Linked DNA regions of Pelodiscus sinensis. The protein of the gene in region 2 interacts with the protein of the main gene of each other region in a pairwise test. Links are inferred from orthologs where the notes say so. Each region holds a gene or a part of one and is shown on either strand. Other genes may lie near its edges.

The links.
Region 1: the proteins of GABARAPL1 (region 2) and OPRK1 interact in binary tests that used the Homo sapiens proteins (3 or more experiments, as listed by UniProt). The link is inferred for Pelodiscus sinensis from reciprocal best matches to the Homo sapiens genes GABARAPL1 and OPRK1.

What each region holds. Positions count from the first base shown.
Region 1 is NC_134712.1:66,150,400-66,158,115, reverse strand, and holds the start of OPRK1 (kappa-type opioid receptor), read right to left. Parts: upstream 3,008-7,716; 5' UTR 2,596-3,007; intron 2,101-2,595; 5' UTR 2,061-2,100; coding exon 1,804-2,060; intron 1-1,803. UniProt on the Homo sapiens protein: G-protein coupled opioid receptor that functions as a receptor for endogenous alpha-neoendorphins and dynorphins, but has low affinity for beta-endorphins.
Region 2 is NC_134711.1:135,297,365-135,305,222, reverse strand, and holds the start of GABARAPL1 (gamma-aminobutyric acid receptor-associated protein-like 1), read right to left. Parts: upstream 3,020-7,858; 5' UTR 2,758-3,019; coding exon 2,668-2,757; intron 1-2,667. UniProt on the Homo sapiens protein: Ubiquitin-like modifier that increases cell-surface expression of kappa-type opioid receptor through facilitating anterograde intracellular trafficking of the receptor. Involved in formation of autophagosomal vacuoles.

The DNA.
Region 1 (7,716 bases), on a different chromosome or scaffold from region 2:
TTGCAATACATTTTTCACTAGATTATGAAAAAAAAAATCAGATAGGGACACTCAGTGCAACACCAATTGAACATTTTTAAATTAGATTTTATATATGCTGGAACATTAGCAACCATTTGCCACAGAGAAATAAGGGGAGGGGAAGGACAAATAACATTGTGAAAAAATCTCAAGCTTTTCAATGTAAAAGTGTAGGTGGGGAGACACGAAGAGGAATGATCAATAAGATTGGGTTGAAGAAAAGAAAGAAATGTATAAGTAGCAGGGGATACCAAAAACCCTCAGAAGGGAAGAAGTGAAAGACAGATAGGAAACACGCACATTCAAGTATAATACATGTTAGCTTGCATTCAGGGTTGAGGCTCTGAGTTTATTTTGACTGCCCATCGAGTTAATTGCCACTATTAAACTGACAGCTTAAAGAAACTCTCCCCTTATGACTGGAGTGTCAGAAAAAGACTCAGTCCTCCTAGTACATAAGGGATTTCAGTTCTTACTGTATGTGAAGGACAGAGAAGATAGCAGGTAGGAAAATAAAATTTGCAACTTGGAGCAAAATAATTATTTCACATTGACAGACAAGCATATTATTTACTTTGATGAATTTAAAGGGATATTTTTTCATTTTCAAGAAGCTTTACCAGACTGTAAGTGATCTTCTCAAAGTAAATTGTAAACAACAACTACATTGACGATAACCGGAAGACACTGAGTCAATCATGACATTTTTCCACTCTTATTTTGGAATTGCTTGGCATACACAAAGTCAGTTTTGATCACCAGAACCTCTTGAACTTATATCAGCTTAATTTTCATACAGAGACTTATTTTACTGTAGCATTAAAACACTCCAGAAAGCGAATTTCACAGTGTTTATTGCAGTAATCAAGTACATTATGAATCAGGAGGACAAAGGGTTGAATGATTTCACTCACCAGAAAGTGAGGTATAAACCTTCTGAGCTGCACTACATGGCGTACTTTGATACAGTAATTGCAAATAGGAATTATAAAAATAGAGAAAAAAAGTCACAGCCCCATCATTTCCTAAGGATTAAAGATAAACATCAACACACAAGTGTAAACATGGATGCATTTAAGTAAACTGTTTAGCATGAACACCAATTAGTGCAAATAAAAATCTCCTTTTTCCTGTTACTTGGAATATTAAAAGCAATCCTATCAATGCTTACTTTGATTTCATCATACCTAAAAGCAACAATGCCATTTAAACCTGAAAACTATCTTAATAGCCTAATTTAAAGAAAAACTACTCCCATCTTTATATTCCGATTTTCCAATTTTTAGAAAGTGTTTATATTATAAGAGATACTATGATAATATAATAAAGCAAATCATAAACCGTTCCTTTCTTTTTTGGTGCATATCCTAGGGGAAGGATGCCTAATAGAAGTTTCCTAATTGTAGTGCATCATTTTCTGTAATATTAACTGCTTTTCAACTCTAGAGGGGGCTCTAGCCACACACTTCCAGTACACCACCAGCACCTCCTCTCCTCCAACTCAAAGGCTAGAGGATTTATTAACTTTCTAATCCATTTCTCCTTTGGGTTTCAAGTTGTACTCCTAGGCAAAAAAACCAAAAATGTGCATAGCTCCCAAACGGAGTGAAAGCACTTCGTCTCAGCTGGGTCACTTCCTTATGGTTCCTCAAGTTTGTACATTATATCTCCTAAAGAGCTTTCTCCCCACCCCTTCCCTTACATCCCTCCTAATGAGGTGTCACTTGAAGCCTCTTTAGTTTGGTACACAAAAGCTAAACACTTCTCCCCAAGATCCCTTACCTTATGATGACAAACATCACAAGAGAGTTGCCCACCAAGCCAACCACAAAGACCACAGAGTAAACAGCAGTGATGATAATAGGGATAGCTGGGGAAATGTTGGTGTGGTTCTGCTGCAAGTCTTCAAAGCCACCACTGGCATTGTTGCCATACTCGGCCCAGCCCAGGAGCCAGCTGCTGCTGCTGGGGAGGAGGCAGGGGCCTGGAGAGCAGGTGGAGCCTGGCTCTTCACGGAAAATGTGCACAGGGGGCTCCATGGGGTTCACTGGGACCACACACAGGGAGGCCAGAAATATGCTAGAAAAAGGAGAGAGAGAGTGAATGAACCACAATGTGCAAACTTTCCATTCAAACAGACCTGTGTTTCTAAATCAGTGGGGAGGGGAGTGCTTTAATAAGCATATTTAGATAAATACCATTTAATGAAACAACATTGTAACATTGCTTAATTGTTAAACGTAACAGGTAAGTGCTGGTAAATGCTGCCCATGAGATACGTGGCTGAAGTTTTCTCCAGGTAACAGAGATTACAGGTTGGGAACAAAACAGAAGAGATACGATAACAGTTTAGAAACAGCTCAATTCCACACCTCTGGTTTCCCCCTCTCGCCACATTTTTAAAGTCAAACAGTACCCTAATCTCTAGGTTCTCTTTCTGCCTTGACTACAATGAAGAGGGGAGGGGAGTGGAATCCACCCCTTTCACCACAATTGCGTGCCATTCTTCCCTCAGCGTTTACCACATTCAGATGTGACACCTTTCAATAAGAGAAACAAAATTTCAAAAATTACCTCTTTCAGTCCTGAAAAAGGATCAGTCTTCACACAAATGCTTTTAAGAGTAGTGTAGAAGCATCCTTTTGGCTCTTGGAGGTGTCACTGATCTCTTATGGCTTTTGAACCTGGAACATCTATGCCTCTGGAGAGCTGAAAACGTGCTAGAGATGAAGCTGAATCCCAGTCATTAGCTCCGAGGTGGCGGCAGCTGCTGCTGCTACAACTCCCAGCACTTCCCCCTTTTACACTCACACTATCTCTGTCTCACTCTCACTCTGCAAGGTCTCCAGCAGCATGCTGCACTAACTCACACATTCTCCTCCACCTCAGGCTCCGCAGCTCAAAAGCTCACATGACTTTTGTCTAAACACCGACAGGCAGACAAATTGAAAGGAAAGACAGACAGTAAGTTCTACTCTACCTGACTGCATCATTTCCATTCCCATACACTTTTCCAAGTTGTATTTCTCCCTTTCCTCCTCCTCCTGCGTCCCCCCACCCTGCAATTTAAAAGTCTTCAGGCAATGACACTTGCTCTCTTATTGAATATTCCAAATTTTGCAAACTAGAAGACATTGGACAGAACAGAAATGTCAGGCAACCCCCTTTTGGCTCCCCTCTTCCCCCTTTCCCCTTGAAACACAGGTCTGTTTGAATGGAAGGCATGCACATTGCATTTTGTAATATATTTTGAGAGAACAGAATGTAGATGCATGAAACTTGATCCAAACATGTGTGGGAGAAAAATCAAATAACTCCAATTGTGTCTAAAGGGGGGAACTGTGCAGAAATCATAACTTTCTAAAAGAAAACTGCTGTAAGGGTTAAAAAGTTTTCCAGGCCTTTCTCCCTGTAACAGAGAGAAATCAAATTAGCTCTAATCAAAGACCCTTACAAATGACTATCTCAAATTCATGGATACTCCTAGTCTGTCACAATTTGTCATGTAAACCCTTATCTTTGTCACAGTTTGCCTTGTAGACTCCTCCACTCAAGTTCTCATGTGGCTTTGTGTACTGTAAAAACTTACTTCTAGCACTCCTGGGGTGAACAGAAGTCTCAGAGTACTTCTGCTGAGACTTTGATATGTTAAAGAAGAACAATCCACAACTGAACTGTCTAAGCATTCTGTATATAGGATACCTGAATCTGTCTGTCAGGGCTGCTGCTTCACTCTTGGAAGTGACAGCCTGCATGCATGCATCATAAAGTTTTCTCTTCTAAGTTTCTTTCCTGCCTCACTGATTTGACCTCCGGCCTCGAACCCTTCTGGGGGCTCTGTACCCCAGGGGAGCGAGATTTCCCCCTCAATTTGGTGTCAGAAGTGGGATGGCTTGGAACTCCAGTTGGAAAGGCTGATGATGGGGAATGGGAACGGACTACAGCGCGCATCTGGAGGGTAAGGGATCCATTTAAAATCCCCCGGTCCGCCTCCCTGTTCTCGTCACCAGCTGGACCGGCTGGCGGTAAGAGTCATCTTTTACTTAAAATTTTTTTTTGTTAAGAGGCTTGAGGGAAACTTAAAACGAAAACACTGGGTATAGCCAAATAGGGGTTGGATTTTGTTGTTGTTGTTGTTGTTGTTGTTGCTGACTGATTGGTGGCGAGTCCAAGCACATGGTTTTGAGTGAGTGAAGTCCGGAGGGGGACCGCAGCCGCACCAGTGCTGTCAGTGTCACTGCACAGCTGCTGAAAGCAAGGGCGGTTTCCCCCGGCACATAAGGAGTGTGAGTGAAGCTGACAGTTTGTGTGGACTCCCACACTATCCTTGGAGAGGGTAGTGTTGCTGGACGCCTGTGCTATCCTTGGAGAGGGTAGTACTGTTGGGCTCCTGTGCTGTCCTTGGACAAGACAGTGCTAACATGGATAAGATTGCTCCCTCAAGTCTGTCTCCTACTGAGAGAAAAGGTTTCTCACAGCCTGGGACTCCCTTGTCTCAGATGATCAGTCAGCTAGGTATTGCCTGCAGGTTTGAAACTAAGGAGACTTAAGGAATTATTGAGCATTTGGGATGGCTATACTCAGGGGAATTCCCAGAATACATGGCAACTAGAGCTTTGACTTACAAAAGCTTGCTTATCTTAGAGTTTTCCTCGAGGAAAAACATCCTAACCAGATGGAATATTGGTGCCTCTGGGAGGATGTGACAGTAAAAAAAAAAATAATCAGAGCACTATGGCTAGCAAAAAAGATTCTATTGAAAAGCTGCAGCAAGAATTGGCTTCTCTAAACAGCTTGATTCCCCAGATGTGCCATCTGCACCCCCACCCCGCTTTGGACCCTTGTCAGCTGAACATTCTTTCCTGTTATCTCCCTGTTCTCTTGTAAACCTTATGGGACATGACTTGTTGTGTAAATTGGGTGCAAACCTTCTCTGTAGAGAGGAAGGGATATTTGTTGACCTTCCCCCCCATCAGACCCCAAAATTGATGGCATTACTACTCTCAGAGGAATCTGATGAGACCTCAGGATATACACCCCTCCTGGACCTCTCAGATGTCCCAGAGACATTGTGGGCAGCCCATGTGAATGAAGTGGGGTTGCTAGCCTCTGCAACACCAGTGCAAACAACATACAGACACAACAAGCCTTTCCCAAGGGTAGCCCTGTATCTATTGGCTAGGGAGGCACAAGAGGGCATTAAGCCTGTAATCTCTCCCTCCTTAAACAAGGGATACTTGTTTATACAACTTCACCATGTAATACACCTATACTACCTGTGAAAAAGCAAATCTATAGATTTATAGAAGACCTAAGAGCCATTAATAAATTTGTAATCCCTAGATTTCCAGTAGTACCTAACCTGGTTTTCTGTAATAGATTTATGTTCTGCCTTCTTTTCTATTCCAGTGCATAAGAATTCCCAATTTCTCTTTGCCTTTTCCTTTCAGGGTCATCAATTAACCTGGACATGTTTTTGTAAAGTTATTGTAAAAGCCCTACTCTGTTTTCTCAGTTTTTTAAAAAAAAGCTGACCTTAATTCTCTCTCTCTTCCCTACAGTTCTGTGTTAGTTCAGTATGTTGATGATGTGTTAATTGCTAGTAAAACTGAGGAAAGATGTAAAACTGATACCTCCTATGTGTTAAAGTGTCTTGCTAATAAGGGTCACAAGGCTTCCAAAGCCAAATTGCAATTTGTAAAACAAAGAGTTCAGTACTTGGAACATTTACTTTTAGGAGATGGCCGCCAGTTAACACCTGAGCGAATCTCAAGTTTTTTTTTCATTCCTCACCCTTTCACCAAAGTCAGGTATACAAATTTCTGGGTACTGCAGGATATTGCAGACAATGGATTCCTAACTTTTCTGGACTCACCAGGCCCCTTACTATTCTACTCTTAATCTTAGCTCCTGACCCAGTGACCTGGTCCCCAGAATGTGAATCTGCTTTCCTTTCCCTTAAAACTCTTCTGCACAGTGGGCTTACCTAAATATAGCAAGCCTTTTACTCTGTTTTGTCATGAACAGGATGGAATTGCAGCTGGAGTTCTCTGTCAACCCCTTGGACCCACACCTCGTCCAGTAGCTTATTTTTCTGCAACACTGGACTCAGTAGCCCGTGGGTTCCCACTTTGTCTGAGGGCAGTTGCAGCTACTGCTGAATTACTTGAAAAAGGCCCAACCTGTCACATTAGGCCACAGCATTATCTTACAGGTCCCTCATGCTGTCTCTGCTCTCTTACAGCGACACCGCACTCAGCACCTATCTGTTCAGAGACAAACCCTGTATGAGAATGTTATCCTCTCTTCCCCAAATGTGGTAATTCAAAGATGTAATGTACTTAACCCAGCTACTTTTTCTCCTTTACCCTCTACTGGTAAAGCACATACCCATAACTGTGAAGAATTGCTTGAGCACTGTGTAAAGCCTCCCCAAGATTTGTCTGCTCAACTGCTGGAAAATGCAGTTCTTGTATTGTATACTGATAGCTCATGTAAAAGAAATGCAGTTGGTAAACTAAAGGCTGGATATGCAGTGGTCTCAGATAATAATGTTTTAAAGGTTCTTTTCTCTTCCAGGAATCAAAATCAGCTCAGGCTGCTGAGCTCATCGCTTTAATTCGTGCTTGCCTTTTAGCGTCCGGACAGTCTGCTGCCATTTATACTAACTCAAAGTATGCTTTCTCTGTCTGTCATGTCACAGGACAAATTTGGAAACAGCGAGGTTTCCTTACCTCTTCTGGCTCTGCTATCTCGCATGGTCCCCTTATCTCCCAACTCCTTGATGCTATTCAGCTACCCACATCCCTCTCTATTACCCATTGCCCGGCCCACACAGGTGCCACTGATCCTGTTTCTCTGGGTAATGGGAGTGCTGATGCAGCAGCCAGACATGCAGCAGAACATGGACCTCTGGCTCCCTTTCAGATTCTGGTCTCTCTTTCCCTCCCTGTTTCTTTGCAGGCCCTGATAGAACTACAGCAAGCTACTCAACCTGCAGAGAAAAACCTTTGGGAGAGAGCAGGCTGCTCCTTATCCCCAGCTGGGATAATGGGTGCACCTGATGGCTGCCCAGTCGCCCCAAAAATCTCTCACACGGCAGCTTGCTCAGGTGTCTCATCAAATGACACACATGAGCAAAAGGGGGGTGGCCTCACAAATCCCAAAACAATGGTACGCCCCAGGCATGCACCTAGAAGCTGTCTCAAGAATATCTAATTCATGTGTGATTTGTAAGCAGTTTAATGTTGCAGGAGGCCCACAGGCTAGCAGCCACACAGAAAGAAAAAAACCTAGACATAAAATGACGGTTAGAAGAGCTTGCATCTGCAGGTAAAGGAAGCCCTCCCAGTACCTACTGATGTACCGTGCCACAACATCCAACCAGGCGACTACGTGTTCGTGAAGGAACATCGCAGAAAGAATTCCCTGACAGCCCGGTGGAAAGGACCGTTCCAATTGCTGTTCATCACCCACACAGCAGTAAAGGTGAAGGAGGGCCCCTCGTGGATCCACGCAAGTCATGTACGCCGAACTGCAGATCCAACAGAGCTGATTGACCCCGTCACCCAGGACCCCTCCCTGGAGGAATCACCTGAGGACGAGGTTCAGCGGACCGAGGTGGCACTCTCAAACCAGACTGTTACCAAACCGGCCTCCACCAGGAGCTTCGAGGTACAACCTGAGAGGTAGGAC
Region 2 (7,858 bases):
GATGAAGAATGGTATCTTAGCAGTCCATTACCTTAACCACTTGGGGCACGTCATGGTATTGCTGGATGTAACTGTGTAGTGTATGCCTGGGTTGGGGGCAAATTGGGGAAAAGACTAGAAGAGGGAAGGAAAAGTACAGCCCCACAGTCATTCTGTCCTCCAATTTCCCAAGATACTGACAAGAAGTACTTAGTGAAAGCAGCAATGAAGCCACCTTTTTATATAAAAGATTGAATTCCAGTAAGATTTTTCCCATGATAGGGAAGAAAGGCGAGGTCACAATAAGTATGGGCCTGGGGAGGAAGAAGGGATGGTACTGGGATTACCACCCCCTAGAAAGCACTGGCATCCAACAGAAACTACCACTTCTAAAGAGATAGAAATGGTATGGGGATGTTTGGTTGACTGGCTTGAATAGATACTCGGTTTGTCTGAATAATTAAGTTGTCCAGGTGTCCATTCTTAAGAACCTGAAACCTTCTCAAAATAGCCATACTCCATCCAAACTGTCACTAGAACTTTATGTCCATCCCCCACCCTGGATTCTGATCCCAAAGGCCTGACAATCTGTTTGCAGAAAGAGAGAGAGAGAGGCATTTAGTAAAGGAAAAACCAAAGGGCAAATGCAGATTAACTCCTGATTGTCATGGGTGGTGTTTGCTGTAGTGTGGGAGGGTGCCAACACTCTCATCTCAATTACAATGCTTAGATCTGCTGGGTGCACTGCAAAGTAAGTCACAGAAATAACTGAAAAAAGCTTGCCAGATAATTCCTATTATCTCCTATACAGCTCGGCTGTGTCTACACTGGACCACTTATTCCGGAAAATCAGCTGCTTTTCCGGAATAAGCTGCCAGCTGTCTACACTGGCCCCTTGAATTTTGGGAAAAGCACTGACGATCTACTGTAAGAAGTCTGCTGCTTTTCCGGAAAAACTATGCTGCTCCCGCTCGGGCAAAAGTCCTTTTTCCAGAAAACTGTTCCGGAAAAGGGCCAGTGTAGACAGCCTAGTAGTCTTTTCCACAAAAAAGCCCCGATCGCGAAAATGGCAATCGGGGCTTTTTTCCGGAAAACCGCGTCTACATTGGCCACGGACACTTTTCCGCAAAAAGGGCTTTTCCGGAAAAGCATCCTGCCAGTGTAGATGCTCTTTTTCCGGAAATACTTATAACGGAAAACTGTTCCATTTTAAGCATTTCCGGAAAATCATGCCAGTGTAGACGTAGCCCTCTTCTAATGGTTCTGAGGAAGGTATTTTCCACTGTGGCTGAATGGACTTCCTCCTGCTGTTCCCGTCTGGGCCTCTGTACACAGAGTTTCTTCTTCACCTTAACCTGCAGCATATCACGCTGTTTTAGTTTCCCCTCCCCACCTCCCACCCCCGCCCAGATCTGCCAATGCATCTCAATCCTGACCTGCCTCACTCTTTGCTATTCCTGTTCTGGCCTCCGCATAGCCCTTGCAATGCATATCCATCATTACCCACAGAACAACCTGCTACTCTAATTCGCAGACTGCAGCACAAATCCTGACCTCACTTCTGACCTGCGGCACCCTTTATTATCCCAGGCCTAAGGCGCTGAATCTCATTTCTGACTAGCAACAATCCCCACCTACCACTCTGGTCCTGTGCTCAACATGCCTAGGCACTACCTCAATTCTAACCTGCAAAAATGCTTGCAAGTTCAATCATGGGGCCTCTCTAGTAAAGAAGAAAATGGTGCTGAATTGCGGCAAAAATGTGTGGCAAGGTTTTTCGTTCCCCTTGTGTCCATAGGGGATTACAGACTATTTTGGAAGGAAGCCCCTGAATCTAGGACAGACATCTCCAATGGGGATGAAAAGAAAGAACATTTGGAATATACCGAATAAAAGAAACCACAGAAATCAATTTAGTTCGCCATTTCCCTTTTCTAATTACTATAATAAAGGTAGAAGTTTTCCAAAAACACTCTAAAGGGACCTCAGAATGAGGAAGCACAGCTAGGCTGAGAGAACGTGACCTTGTTTTCTACGTGATTTTTTTTTCCCACAAAGAGATTAAATGAGATGTCAAAAGACTGAGTGATTGCTATAAATCTTCTCATACATGCAAGGACAAGGATAGAGCACAGTTGTATTGAAAAGACAAAACAAAACTACTAAAAGGAAAGGAAGATCTCTGGTGGCATCATAGAGGCCCTCCAGTTTTCCCCATGAAGGTTATATGATTAATTCACATACTATTTTCCACCATTTTTGCAAAGAAAATGGTTAACTTTCCTCACTTCCCCACAACATGCACAGAGACTGTCATAAGAAAGATGAACAGCATTTTTCCCTGCTAAATTGCTGCAGATTATGGGGGTGGAGAGAGCAGCAAGATAGACCCCACCACTCATTTACATATTAAAATAGCATCATTCTTTGTATATAAACATAGCTCAAACAGATATAGTTCTATAAACACAGATCAGGAAACAGCAGATTAAAAGCTGATCAGGACATATAGTAATAACAACCCCCAAATCCTTTAAAAATCCCTCACCCTTAAAATATAAGCCACAGAATATTTGATAAAACCAAGGCTACACAAATTGTTTGCAAAATATAATCAGCTGCAAATCAAGAACAGAAGGTGGCAGCAATCAATACACTATACTAAGAAAAATAATATATTCCACTCACAGGGACCCTGTCTGGATATTTCTTTCTGATTTTCTCCCCTTCTTTTTTTCTGTATTCAAAAGGATGATCTTCTTTGTACTGGAACTTCATGCTGGGTTTTTTTGGTGTCTCAAGTTTTTCCTTTTGAGATTGTTGATTTAAAGTGTCTTCTAAAGCCTTTGATATCAAAGATATAGGCTTCAAGCAAATTCTGGGGTAAGCTGAGAGTTTTCGGTGCTGCTTTGAATTCTTCTGTCAATTTCCCAGGTTACAGAAATACAGCTGATCATGGAACACAAACAACGATGTAGCAAATTCAGCATTGTGATGTCACAGGGAGAAGCTTCCATCATTCTAGGCTGCACCATTTCACCTGTAGAATAGGGAGAGACTGTACATTAATTAAATCGCATTTGCACACGGTTGTTAATGAAATACACGAAGATATATGTGCAAACACGGAATTATCATGCGATACTGCATCACTGAAAATACGGCCCTGCTTACTCTTTCAAATATATTTTAAAATTAGTCTCCCCCCTCCACTCTGTGTCCTATGGGTTGAGCCACACACTCCTGATACAAACGGGCTTCAGGGCTAAACCACTCCATGTGAAAGGGGAGGATCATGTGCTGCAAAGCAAAATAATAATAAACTCAAATATAAATTCTCTTTCTTTACTGTCTATCCGATACCTGCTAGCATTTCGGATCCATTACAGGCACGTATGGGAAGAACTAGGGACGGGGGGAGGAGGAGGGGCAAATCATCAAATGGGAAATATTTGGCTGAAAAAAATCTCGGCTTCTGTTCTGCGCTACGCAGGTTTTTATTCCTTTCCTAAAGTGGGTCACGTTTCTAGGCCCGTGTCTCTGTTTTGGGGGTCTGATCTTCTGTGGCTTGTTTTCCAGCACGCCTGCGTGTGTGACTAAAGCAGAAGCAAGGGCTGAGCAAGAGCATAAACTCGCCGTGACTCAGCGGGTTTTAACTGATGGTGGCAGAGCGGTGGACACTGGCCGGGGAGTAATCTGCTGGCAAAGAAGCGGATGTGTCCTTTGTTCCGAACAGGGTATGACTAGCGCAGCTCGTGTGCGCATAACCACCTGTAATGCTTGAACTTCAGACTGTCGGGCGGCTTCCTCCCCTCCCCAGGGCCGCCAAGAGGTGAGCTGGCTGCGGCTGCTGGGGAAGACAGAGCTCGTGACTTGAGTGAGTCACACACCTGCAACCCCACCATAACTGCCTCTGTCAACAGAGCAAAGGGAAGGCAGCCGGCGCTGAGCAGCTCCAGCTGGCTGTGGGAAGGGGATGGGGGAGGGGAAACTGATTGGTTAGAGCTGGGAGGCTAGGCAAAGGGGCTGCACCACTCTCCTGTGCCCCGTGTGTCCCTCGACCCCCCCCCCCCCCCCCGTCAGGAAATTCCTAGACCCGAGCATTTGGCATTGGAAGCAAAATACGCGCCTGAAAGCGAAAATCCTTGGCGCAGGGGAAGGATCCAAACCGAAAACAGGGGCGAAGGCTTTGTTCCGAATAAAAGTGCCATATTCAGGTTGCTATCATTCATGGAATCCATAAGCCATTCGCGTCTGGCCAGTCAGCAGTCACTTATGAAAACAATTCTGAATCCAGAAGGTCTCCCATAGTTTCTAACAAATTAGTAGTCTGAAAATGTGTACTAGAAAGAGTGGGCCCTATCCTAGAGGTCTGAGCTCTGCCTAAGAGACTCGGATATAGTCCCAGTTCTGTCACTAACCTGTTATGTGACCTTAAACAAATAATTTCCTGTGTTTCCCTGTCTGTAAAACGGGATGATGCCAATCTCCTTGGTAAAGTGTGTTGAGATCTGGTGTACAGCATTAGATAAGACTCATGGACTGTGTCTAGACTGCATCCCTTTTCCTTAAAAGGGATGCAAATTAGACGTATCGCAATTGTAAATGAAGCGGGGATTTAAAATCTCCCCTGCTTCATTAGCATAAAAATGGCTGCCGCTTTTTTCCGGCTCGGAGCTTTGCCAGGAAAAAGCGCCAGTCTAGACGCGGATCTTTCGGAAAATAAAGCCTTTTCCGAAAGATCCCTTATCCCTTATTTTAAGAGGGATAAGGGATCTTTCGGAAAAGGCTTTATTTTTCCGAAAGATCCACGTTTTGACTGGCACTTTTTGGCGGCAAAGCTCCGAGCCGGAAAAAAGCGGCAGCCATTTTTATGCTAATGAAGCGGGGGAGATTTAAATCCCCGCTTCATTAGCAATTGCGATACGTCTAATTTGCATCCCTTTTGCGAAAAAGGGATGCAATCTAGACGTAGCCATGTATTATTACTATACCTTATTCAGTATTTGTCATTCGTTCATGTTTAAAAAAGCTCAGTCATCCAGTTAAGGTGCAGAAAATGTACACACAATTCAGTTGACCAAGTGAACAACAGAAATAGCAAATAGTTGAAGTGAACAATTTGTAAATAAGCTACAATCTGGCCATTGTTCATTCAAGTTATTCAGTGGACATTTATAAACAGTAGACATTCCAGGGAAATCAGTATCAGTTCACAAGCCAGTTACTAACCAAGATAACTTCTTAATGAATGAGTCAGCCATCTCAGATCTGTAAATATATATCAGTTTTGCAAAATTATTGCACAAATGGGTCTGCACATGCACACACAGAATCTTAGGGCTGGAAGAGATCTCAGGAGTCATCAAGTGCAGCCCCCTGCCCAAAGCAGGACCAACCCCAACTAAATCATCCCAGCCAGGACTCTGTCAAGCCGGGACTTAAACACCTGGGCTATGTCTACACTGGCCCCTTCTTCGGAATAGGCATGCTAATTTAGAACTTTGGAATAGGGAAATGCGCGGGGGATTTAAATATCCCCCGTGGGATTTAAATAAACATGGCCGCCGCTTTTTTTCCAGCTTGGGGAAAAGCCGGAAAAGAGCGTCCAGACTGGTGCGATCCTCCGCAATAAAGCCCTATTCCAGAGGATCTCTTATTCCTCTTATTCAAGTAGGAATAAGAGATCCTCCGGAATAGGGCTTTATTCCGGAGGATCGCGCCAGTCTGGACGCTCTTTTCCGGCTTTTCCCCAAGCCGGAAAAAAAGCGGCGGCCATGTTTATTTAAATCCCGCGGGGGATATTTAAATCCCCCGCGCATTTCCCGATTCCAAAGTTCTAAATTAGCATGCCTATTCCGAAGAAGGGGCCAGTGTAGACACAGCCCTGTAGAGATGGAGATTCCATCACCTCCTTAGGAAACCCATTCCAGTGCTTCACCACTCTCCTAGGTAAATAGTTTTTCCTAATATCCAACCTAGACCCCACCATGCCACTGCAACTTGAGACCATTGCTCCTTGTTCTTCTATCTGTCACCACTGAGAACAGCCTCTCTCCATTCTGCTTGCTTACCCAGTGCCATCCATTAAGTTTAAGAACATAAGAATAGCCATAGTGAGTGAGACCAAAGGTCCATCTAGCCCAGTATCCTGTTTCAGACCATGACCAATGCCAGGTGCCCCAGAAGGAATGAAAAGAACAGATAATCATGTCACCACCAAGAAGCAAAATTTTTTTAAGGCCGATTTATATCAACTTATTTTAATCAGTGTAACTGATTTTAGTGTTGGCTGAAGCAGAGGCTGAGCTAAGCCACACACCAGGTAATAAAGGTCAAATAGGAACCCAGCTTTCCAGAGTTCAAATCCTGTAATCCGAGATGTCCAAGCTCTGTCTGTGCTGCAGCCCATGGTACCAGAAAGGGGACTTGGGCCATAGTGTGGGTGCAGCAGGATACTTCTGCAGTCACTAGTGACAGCAGACACTCAAACAGTTTTCTGCTGAGCTCTCTCATCTTCCAACAGCTGCTGTTCCTTTTCTAGGAACTATGAAGCAAAAGTCTGGTCCCGCAACTTTGTCCTCCATACTATGCACCAGCCTGCGCTTTTCCTGTTGCCTCTCACCATACCTTTCCTCTTTCTCAAGACCCTCGCTGTGTCTAGACTGGCCCCTTCTTTGGAAGAGGCATGCTAATTTCTAACTTTGGAATAGGGAAATCCGCGGGGGATTTAAATACTTGCAGGAATAAGAGATCCTCCGGAATAGGGCTTTATTCCGGATGATCGTGCCAGTCTGGACGCTCTTTTCCGGCTTTTCCCCAAGCCGGAAAAAAAGCGGTGGCCATGTTTATTTAAATCCCGCGCGGGATATTTAAATCTCCCGCGGATTTCCTTATTCCAAAGTTAGAAATTAGCATGCCTCTTCCGAAGAAGGGGCGAGTGTAGACATAGCCCCTCTGTTTGCTTAGCACTGTGCCTTCTTGTTGACTCTCTGCAGAAATTCAGCTGTGAGTTCATCACAGAAATGCTTCTTGTTGGTGCGACAAAGAAAGGTAGATTGATCCAGGCTCCTGTTGCAGTGGGGGCGAGCTATGGAGCTACAGAGGCAGTGGTTGAGTGGCCTGGAATAGGACACGACACGAGGTTATTGTCTCTCAGAGCTCAATACAGGAGCACAGAAAATATCCTTGCGAATCTGAAAGACATTAAAATGTTACTTTTCCAAACGGAATGTCAATATATTGTGAATGGGATGCAGAGACGTTCCTCGAACACAGTCAGGTTATTCACAGTGAAAGAAGCACTGACACAATTGAAAATTAAAAAGGCTGTTTTCCCCTGAAGAGAGCAGAAGCATTTGGATGTAGGGGGGCAGCTCCGGCCATGCTACAAAAGGGATTTGTACAATTTCAGGCTTTCCACAGTTTGGAGGCTATAATGGTTCTTGTGGCGCCTGATTGGCAAAGGGAGGTGTTATGCTGAGCTGCCCTTGGGAAGCGATCAGTGTATGCAACTGAAACATTCAAATATATAGACAGAACTATGCAGCACTTTAAAGACTAACAAGATGGTTTATTAGGTGATGAGCTTTCGTGGGCCAGACCCACTTCCTCAGATCAAATTGTGGAAGAAAATTGGCATGACCAAAGGGATACAATTTGATCCGAGGAAGTGGGTCTGGCCCACGAAAGCTCATCACCTAATAAACCATCTTGTTAGTCTTTAAAGTGCTGCATAGTCCTGTCTTAGGTTTCAGCTAGACCAGACGAACATGGCTACCTCTCTATTACTATTCAAATATATAGTGACTGAACAGCACATCTATCAGTGGAGTGGCCTGGTAAGCTACTGGGATGGCCCTGAAAAAAACCCTGCACC